Linked DNA regions of Oryzias latipes. The main gene of each other region encodes a partner of the protein of the gene in region 2 in a complex. Links are inferred from orthologs where the notes say so. Each region holds a gene or a part of one and is shown on either strand. Other genes may lie near its edges.

The links.
Region 1: the proteins of llgl1 (region 2) and prkci are in contact, whole or in part, in a cryo-EM structure (PDB 8R3Y), measured with the Homo sapiens proteins. The link is inferred for Oryzias latipes from reciprocal best matches to the Homo sapiens genes LLGL1 and PRKCI. Residues at the interface, in NP_004131.4 of Homo sapiens: Ala315, Asp319, Glu367, His391, Ser392, Ala394, Thr396, Glu453, Cys483, Glu484, His485, Phe506, Asp507, Pro508, Tyr509, Ser510, Asp511, Pro513, Gln518, Lys519, Lys569, Ala600, Val601, Thr602, Leu644, Gly648, Pro649, Leu650, Ser651, Arg652; in NP_002731.4 of Homo sapiens: Asp339, Met341, Gln345, Arg348, Leu381, Asp382, Met399, Thr412, Phe413, Cys414, Pro417, Leu425, Glu445, Gly449, Arg450, Ser451, Gly457, Ser458, Ser459, Asp460, Asn461, Pro462, Asp463, Asn465, Thr466, Glu467, Asp468, Tyr469, Leu470, Phe471.

Annotation. Positions count from the first base shown.
Region 1 is NC_019875.2:30,180,412-30,184,227, reverse strand, and holds part of prkci (protein kinase C iota type), read left to right. Parts: intron 1-1,275; coding exon 1,276-1,365; intron 1,366-3,530; coding exon 3,531-3,581; intron 3,582-3,816.
Region 2 is NC_019866.2:18,034,867-18,039,183, reverse strand, and holds the start of llgl1 (lethal(2) giant larvae protein homolog 1), read right to left. Parts: upstream 2,969-4,317; 5' UTR 2,634-2,968; coding exon 2,553-2,633; intron 1-2,552. UniProt on the Homo sapiens protein: Cortical cytoskeleton protein found in a complex involved in maintaining cell polarity and epithelial integrity. Involved in the regulation of mitotic spindle orientation, proliferation, differentiation and tissue organization of neuroepithelial cells.

The DNA.
Region 1 (3,816 bases), on a different chromosome or scaffold from region 2:
ATGTCATAAATGGTTCCATCACCAGAATAAGTCCAGGAAGTGCCTCTGGTTAACTTCTAGATATTTGCAAACTCAGACACTACAAAAGAAAGATTTTCTTTTTGGAGGAACCAGATTTGTCTGAAGTTTACGCTCCAGATTATCTGTGATGCCACAAATAGGATGTTTTTTTTCTTTCAAAGCTTGTTCTGTCCAACAACTGAGCAAACAGATGAGAGCTGAAGGCCTTTTGTGTTGGACAGGTTTACAATCACAATAAAGGGTTTGGGTCTTCAGTGGCTGGGGTGTGTATTTGTATAAACCCCTTTTGGGTTTTTTAACATTTTCATTTATTTATTACATTTTATGTTTAAAAAAAATATATATATATATATATATATATATATATATATATATATATATATATATATATATATATATATATATATATATATATATATATATATATATATATATATATATATATATATATATATTATAGAGGGAAGGGAGATGGGGAAAAGTGCGTGTGTGTGTGTGTGCGTGTGGGGGGGGGGGGTTGTAAAAGAAAAAAAGAGAGGGTGGGATTAAGAATGGGGGGTGTTTTAGGAGCGACAGGAGAGCTGCACTTCCTGGTTCTACTAGAGACCCTCCATGTTGGAGATGGTGGTTTTGGTGTCTAACGTTTTCTTGCAGCATTTTTCTAATGGTGGAGGATATTTGTAAAGAAAATGAAGCTCTAAACTGCATTTCTGAGGATTTCTTTATTCAAATCTCTGCATATAAGGAACAGAGGACAAATGCCGTTTAAAATTATCGTTTTTGTGGCGTAGAAAATATGCTGGGCGGGGCCACAGTCTCCCTGCTCCGCCCCTTTCTGATCCTCCACCTGCAGACCAACAGATCCATGAACGTCTCAGTTTTCCTGGTCTGAGCTGGAATCTGGATCAGAACCGGATGGATGGACGGATCTGATGTTGCTGCTTTTTTTGTTGCACCGCTAATGTTAGGTTGGGGGTGAGAGGGGCTGTAAGCTAGTTGGACAGCATGAAAACAAAGGGATGATGGGATATTAAAAGAGGCTTTCTTCCACGCCAAGAGTTCCGCCCACAACTCTGAAGTAGATTTCTGATGAACTCTTGCTGCTCTGCAGAAACTATGTCTTACCAAATAACAGAATTTTGGATTTTGGCTCAAAACAGAATCATCATCATTAAAGACAACTGAGAAGGCTTTAACCTAACCTTTGACCTAAACCCCTCCATGTTCTTGTTGTGACGGTCTCTGTCGTTCCAGGTGACCCCTGCACCGTGTCTTCTCAGCTGGAACTGGAGGAAGCTCTGCGTCTCTATGAGCTCAACAAAGACTCGGAGCTCATTATTCACGGTGAGCAAACAGATTATTACCAACAGAGCCTCCTCTTTCACATCTGTCTGAGACCATCCTTCATCCAAACTCCTTTATTCCTCAGAAGTAGCATCAGTTCTTTGACGTTCTTTAGTTTCTGCTCTTTTTATCTTTGGATTTAAAAACCACAACATTTGGTTGTGTGAAGCGTCTGGGATGAGGGTCAGCACTGCTAAATCTGAGGCCATGTTCCTTGACTGGAGAAAGGTAGTTTGCCATCTCTCTGTGGGTGGAGTGTTTCTGCCCCAGGTGGAGGAGTTTAGATATCTTGGGGTGAGGGGAGACCGGAGCGTGAGAGTGACAGGTGGATCGGGGCAGCGTCCATCGTTATGCGGTCGCTGTACCGGGCCGTTGTGGTGAAGAGAAAGCAAAGCTCTCCATTTACCGGTTGATCTCCGTTCCAGTTCTCACCTACGGTCATGAGCTCTGGGTCATGACCCAAAGAACCAGGTCCTGAATACAAGCGGCTGAAATGAGCTTCCTCCATAGGGGGGCTGAGCGCTCCTTTAAAGAAAGGGGGAGGAGAGCTGTGAGTAGAACCGCTTCCCCTCCGCATCCAGAGGGGGCTCGGGCATCTGGTCTGGATGCCTCCTGGACGCCTCCCTGGGGAGGTGTTCCGGGCATGTCCCACTGGGCGGAAGCCCCAGGGAAGAGGAGCTGGAGGAAGTGGCCGGGGAGAGGGAAGTCTGGGCAACTATGCTTAGACTGCTGCCCCCGCGACCCGGTCCCGGATAAGCTGAAGAGGATGGATGGATGGATGGATGATGGATGGATGGATGGATGGATGGATGGATGGATGAAAGATGGATGGATGGAGCATTTGGTTGTTGATCTGCTGTTTTGGGCTGTGCAGCTGGAGCCATGTCTGTCTGAAGTAAATGGTTATAAACAGAAGCAGTCCCTCTGAGCCCAAATCATCATCCGTCCACCGCCATGTTTCCACTGGTGTTTGTGTCTTACTGTAAGCGTCATTCCTGCACTTCTTGATCTTTGTATTTCTAGAAGGAAGCCGATTTCTCACAGTTTAGTGGTTTCACCATCAATGAGGGAACCGGCGACAGAATATTTTCTGGTTTCAGTGGAACCGAGCTGCCCCTCTGCGACCAGGACTCGTTCAGCCTCAGAGGAGCCTGTCGGTCCGCTCAGCGTCCCGCTGGCTGCTGCTTTACAAGCCACACCGTCTGCTCCTTTGCATGCTCCATTTCTGCTCATTAAGCTGCAGCTCATGAAACCTCAGGCTAAGAATCCTGTTTGACGAGCTTTGTCAAAGCACATCATCAGCTCTGGCTGTCACTCATGTTTTCCCTCCGTTAGGCTCGTACAACAGCGGGCGGCGTTCCCTTTAGGCTTCATGAATGTTTATTTGTTTGTTTAATCTGCATTAAAGTATTCTTTCCTCTTCATAATAAAAGCCACACTTTACATTTTCTTCACTGAGGATGAACATGAGTGACAGCACACTGTCATCATACTTTTATTTGATTTAAAATGTTTCTGCTTTATTTACCAACAACAAATTCGTAAAAAAATTTGTCCAAACAAAATCCCCCAAAGCATCTTTTATTTATACATTTATGCTTCCGTTTCTGTGATCATCTCAGTTATCAGTTTAACGGAAAAGAGCCAGACTGTCGGCAGAGGCTGACCGGCCGTTTTCCTCTGTGGCTCTCCTGCATAGCCTGGGGGGGGGGGCATCAGGGCATACGGCTAGAGCTTCAGCGACCCGTGAAACAGCAGCACTTCCTCTGTGAACGTCTGCCCCCCCTGTGCTCCCCGTCCAGCCTAACCCTGTTCCGAATGTTGAGGAGCTTGGAGGTCGGGGTTCACTCTAAACGTTGGGCTGTGTTTGTGTAAACATGTGACCCCGAGGGGGCGGGCTCACTAAAGCTCTAATCAGTTTAAGGGTGACGGGTCAATAGATGTCATTCTGACTGGGGAGGAGGCTGGGGCTGGAGGGGGTGCAGGCGGCGGGTTGCCAGGTCTGCTCCTGACAGAGGTCGTTGGGTTCTCTGACTCATCGGTCCGTTCCTCTTCAGGACGTGAATCTTCTGCTGAAATCCCGTCTCTCCGATCCGATTCTGGTCGGATCAGCTGATTTCTTTGGTGATTTATTCCTCATTTGAAGGCCGTTTGTTTCCTTCCAGTGTTCCCGTGTATCCCAGAGAAGCCGGGGATGCCTTGTCCAGGAGAAGACAGTGAGTTCTGCCTCTTCCTTCTGTACAGAACCTGGACCCACGCAGAACTTCAACAATGGAATTTCTTCATGGGACCTTTATTTTTTAAAATCTGCACGGGTCAACTCGACCCAGACACACTCCAGTTTTACATTTCATTTTTCAAACATGTTGACTGATGCCGATGATCTTTACTAAGATTAAGTCAGCTCTACTTCTGCTTTCACCTACCCCCCCCCCCCCCCCCCCCCCCCCA
Region 2 (4,317 bases):
TTTTCTAACAGCATTTTTTAATCTGCTCCTGATTCACAATGATTTAAATAAAAACAAGATACAATTGCAAGTTTAAGCTTAATTGTTTACTATTATACATCTTCAATCCTACCAAAAAGCCCACAATAGCATATTTTCAGGATTTTTATTAGAAATGAGTATGAAATCCACCAAGATTTTCATCAGAATGGGTCTTTAATGCTTTTATTGATAACAGTCCTAACTTTTAAAAGGACTTTTACCATCCAAAAATGCATGGATTTCTTAATTACAGCCTGCAAAAGAAAAAAATTACTTGCTAAATAAACTACTAGTGTGATAAAAAGAAAATAGAAATACAGTTAACTGCTCTTTAGATGAAAACAAGTCATAAAGCTCAGCCAAGAAAGCTTTATTGCAATTCTTCTTAAATCTGTTTTTGTAAGGCATAATGAAAATAAACCTTCTTGATCTGCGGCTATAAATTGTTTTACATCAAAAGGATAGGGACTCTTTCACATCAGAAAAGCTAAGCGGGTGGAGATCAGCAGAAACCTTTTGCATTCGCTTTTACATTTTGCAGTCACAGTTCCAACAGCAGTTTGAATGAACCCTGAGTTTGATCACAAGAAAAGCACAAAGAAGAATTCCAAAAAGCCTGGCTACTCTTCTGACAATCACAACAATAAGCCACTACAGTTTATCACTACACCAAGTTTACCGACAACATTTTTTACAATTTGTGATGATTTCCTTTCTGATAGATAATCAGTCTGTAATCACTGTAGTGAACCTGAAGCCTTGTGTTCATGTAAAGAACAGCTTGTTTATTTGGTATTCACCAGAGTTCAAATAAGCTTGAAACACCTGCCAAAGAGGACTGTGAACCAAAAGGTTCAGTGTGAACGTGCCCTGAATCACTGCAAAGATCTGTAGATCATTGGCAGGTGGGGGAAGATCTGTGAAAGCAGAGATCTTCAGCGTTCTGTTCATTCTGTATGGATGATTGTTTTGATAATAACATTTAAACAATTTAAACAGATGGAAACAAGTCACTTTGAAATAAGTTATAAAAATTATCTAAAACTTTTAAGACTTGGAAATTTCATACTCATTGCTTATAAATAAAATCCTGAAAATTTCACAATTTGAAAGCAATTCTTTCAAGAAAAAAAATGAACACATTTAGCTTTATATCAGAGAAGAAAATTGTAAAAAGTAGTGTTAAGCAAGGCAGCAAATTTAAAGACCGACTGAAGACATTTGGTATGTGGGCAACAATTTCCAAGAGAATTCCTCTGAATCAATGACTAAGGACATTTCAAAGGAGTTTTGCAAATGCTAGCGCTTGTAAAACATCATGTGATTTCTTTTGGTCAGGGATGAATAAAGTGGAATTGTGTTGCTTAAAAGTTTAGCCTTGTTGTCTACAGGTTTTGGCAGGAAAATCCCATTCCCACTGTCAAGCAAAGTGGTGATAATGTGGGCTTCTCCTCTGCTACCAACAATTCATTTTTCTCAGCTGAAGTTAGCAGGAAATTAGTTCATCCAGCAGGACGATACCCCACAGACAAAATCCAAGATTTGCTCTGGAATAGTCCACGGCCAGATTTCTGTCAGCTGGGGTGCTGTGGTGGGGCATTAGCAACGATCAGTGTCACGTTTTCCTGTGCAATTGCCTTTCGAAACCAAATGTTTGAACAGGCCCCCTCTGCACAAGATAGTGGCCTCATCTCACAGCAACACAGGGCTAGAACTCTGCAAAATGGGGTCTGTTATAGTGAGCTTTAACAGACCACTGGGCAGAATTCCTGATTGCAAAACAGCAAGCTGGTTAAGAAATATAATAAAAACCAATTTACAGAAGACAAGAGACTTTTTAAGCCTAATTCAAGGTTGCAGATATGGCCAAAATAGACAATGTAGCTCCAAGTTAGATTGGATTTAAATAAAATGAAATAAAAAGAGATTTAAAGATAAGTCTAACATCAGCAGACATCCAACTGACTCTGAGCACCGATTCATATTCATGTGAGAGTGGTACATAATTTTCTTTTGCATGAAACCTGAACCTGAACAAGCTGCAACTATGAGAAAAGTCGTCACTACATTGATCAGTTCAAAAATATGGGTCAGAATAATTAGGGTTCAAATTCAAACTTTATTTATAAAGTCCTTTTCATACAGAAGCAACGCAAAGTTATTTACAGTTTTAAGATGCATCTCCCTTCAGAGTTATCGTGTTGTTTATACTGGTTAGTTACATGAAAGTGGTTTCTATTGTTTTGTTTTCTGTCCTCATCTGAATGCAGAGCCACGCCGTGAAATCATCTCAACAAAAAGCGCATCTGAGTCTGACTCCAGTCTCCAGCTTTTCCCCCAGCGACCCGAAGTCCTTCCCGGCTAATTGAGTCTCTCCGTGGACAGAAAGGCGAACGAAGACAAGCGGATAAGCCGCTTTACTTCCCAGTTTCGTTGAGGTTCGCTTATTTTGATTATTCTAGCCGTGTTTTAGTTGCGGGGCACAACGAAAGATTTCGCGTGCACCTCACCCTCCAGTCCCGTTACTTTACCTTTTTGAAGGCGAAAAGCTCCTGTTTTATTTTCTCCCTCTGCGGGTCGGTGCTCTGCCGACGAAACCTGAACTTCATCATCTTTAAGCGGATACGGAGGATCCAACTCCAGTCGGGACGCAGATGGCGCTGGGTGGGATAAGAACCCCGGAGTTCTCGGCGGCGGGAAGGCGGAGGCAGGCGATGCTATGCTAGCTAATGGACAAGCCCAACAGACCAAACGTGGGGCTACAGCTGTAGCTGCCGCGGAGACGGCGACGAGTCTTTTCTCTCCTCCTCTCCCCCTTGTGCTGCTTTGGTCGCGGTGGGGTTTGACCACAACCCCCTCCTCTTCCCGGTTCTCACGAACCCCTTTTTGTTAACCAATGAAGGGAACGATAAGCGCTGGAAACCGCAAGGAAACGCCTCCTACAACCGAGCACTTGTTTTGTCACACAGAATGCACCGATTGAGCGGGACAGCCACACAACCTCACCTGGTGATGGGAAGCGGTCTGTCTTTATGAATAAATCAAACTACTTCAAAACAAAAAAATGAAAACTTTCAAAGACCGATTCTGATGAAAATTGTATTTTTTACATGTCCATAAGACATATTTTCTGACGATGGAAGACATATATCAAGAAAATAAAGCTTAATAATGTGATTCTAAGTTTTTCTCGGTCTTCTACTGATTCAAATCTAGTCAGAAGACTTTAAATTATTGGGGCAAGCCACAGGCTCCTTTGCTCAGCTCCATTCTGATGCATCCACTTGTAGACAAAGACATCCATGTACGTCTTAGTGTTCTTTGTCTGAGCTGGCATCAAGCTCAAAACTGTATGTCTGGATAGCTATGACAATGCTCGCCCTTTTTGTTGCACTGATAATGTTAGATTGGGTTTGTGAGGTGCTGTAAACTTGCAGGACATTGTAAACCGATGGATGATGGGAGATGGAGGTGGATTCACTCAGTGCCACAACTGAAAGGTGAATTTCTAATGAATTCCAGCCATTCTGCAGAAACTATGTCCTAGAAAACAACACAGGATTTTTTATTTGCCTAAAGACAGCATACCTCTAATTAAAAGACCACTGGGAATGCTTTTACAATAGATCAAAAGATTATCAGAGTGGGACTATATAATAACATAGTGGGTTAAATATGTGGACTAAAAAAATAAAACAAATCTTTATTTATGCTATTTTTTTAATTATACATCCAGTTGTTTAAATTTAACTGAATACGCACATCATATGGTGTTGTAAAAAAGGCGTGGGATCAGACAAGATTTCTCTTCAACCCACTCTTCACTCACTTTTCAAGCACACTGTTTAGCTTTATTTGTCTATTTTAAACTACTGTGTTTATTTTTCATTTGTGTTTGAAATAAAGAAACTGACACTGAAAACAGAATTTTTGTTCAAAATACACATATGTGTGTGCACAAAATAAAATTAAGGCACATTGTAAGTTTGTAATAATCACCTTTAATGTTCAGCATTATGTCTACAAATTAATTTATAAACAATAGTTTTTAATCAAGATGCATAGCTAAAAGTGTAGTTTGAGCAAACCATTTAGTATTCTGGCCAAAGTCCTCTTTAAGATTATTTTTTATGAGCACTTTGTCCTTAATTTAACAGAAAAGAGCATAAGAATATCATTAAAAGTTGCTTAAATTGTGTGCAGTTTGTGAATGTGGTTGTGGTCAAACCTTTGGGGTAAGACATGTAGTTTCTGAGTCATTTCCCCCCCTCAGTCATTTTACAGTACTTGCAACAA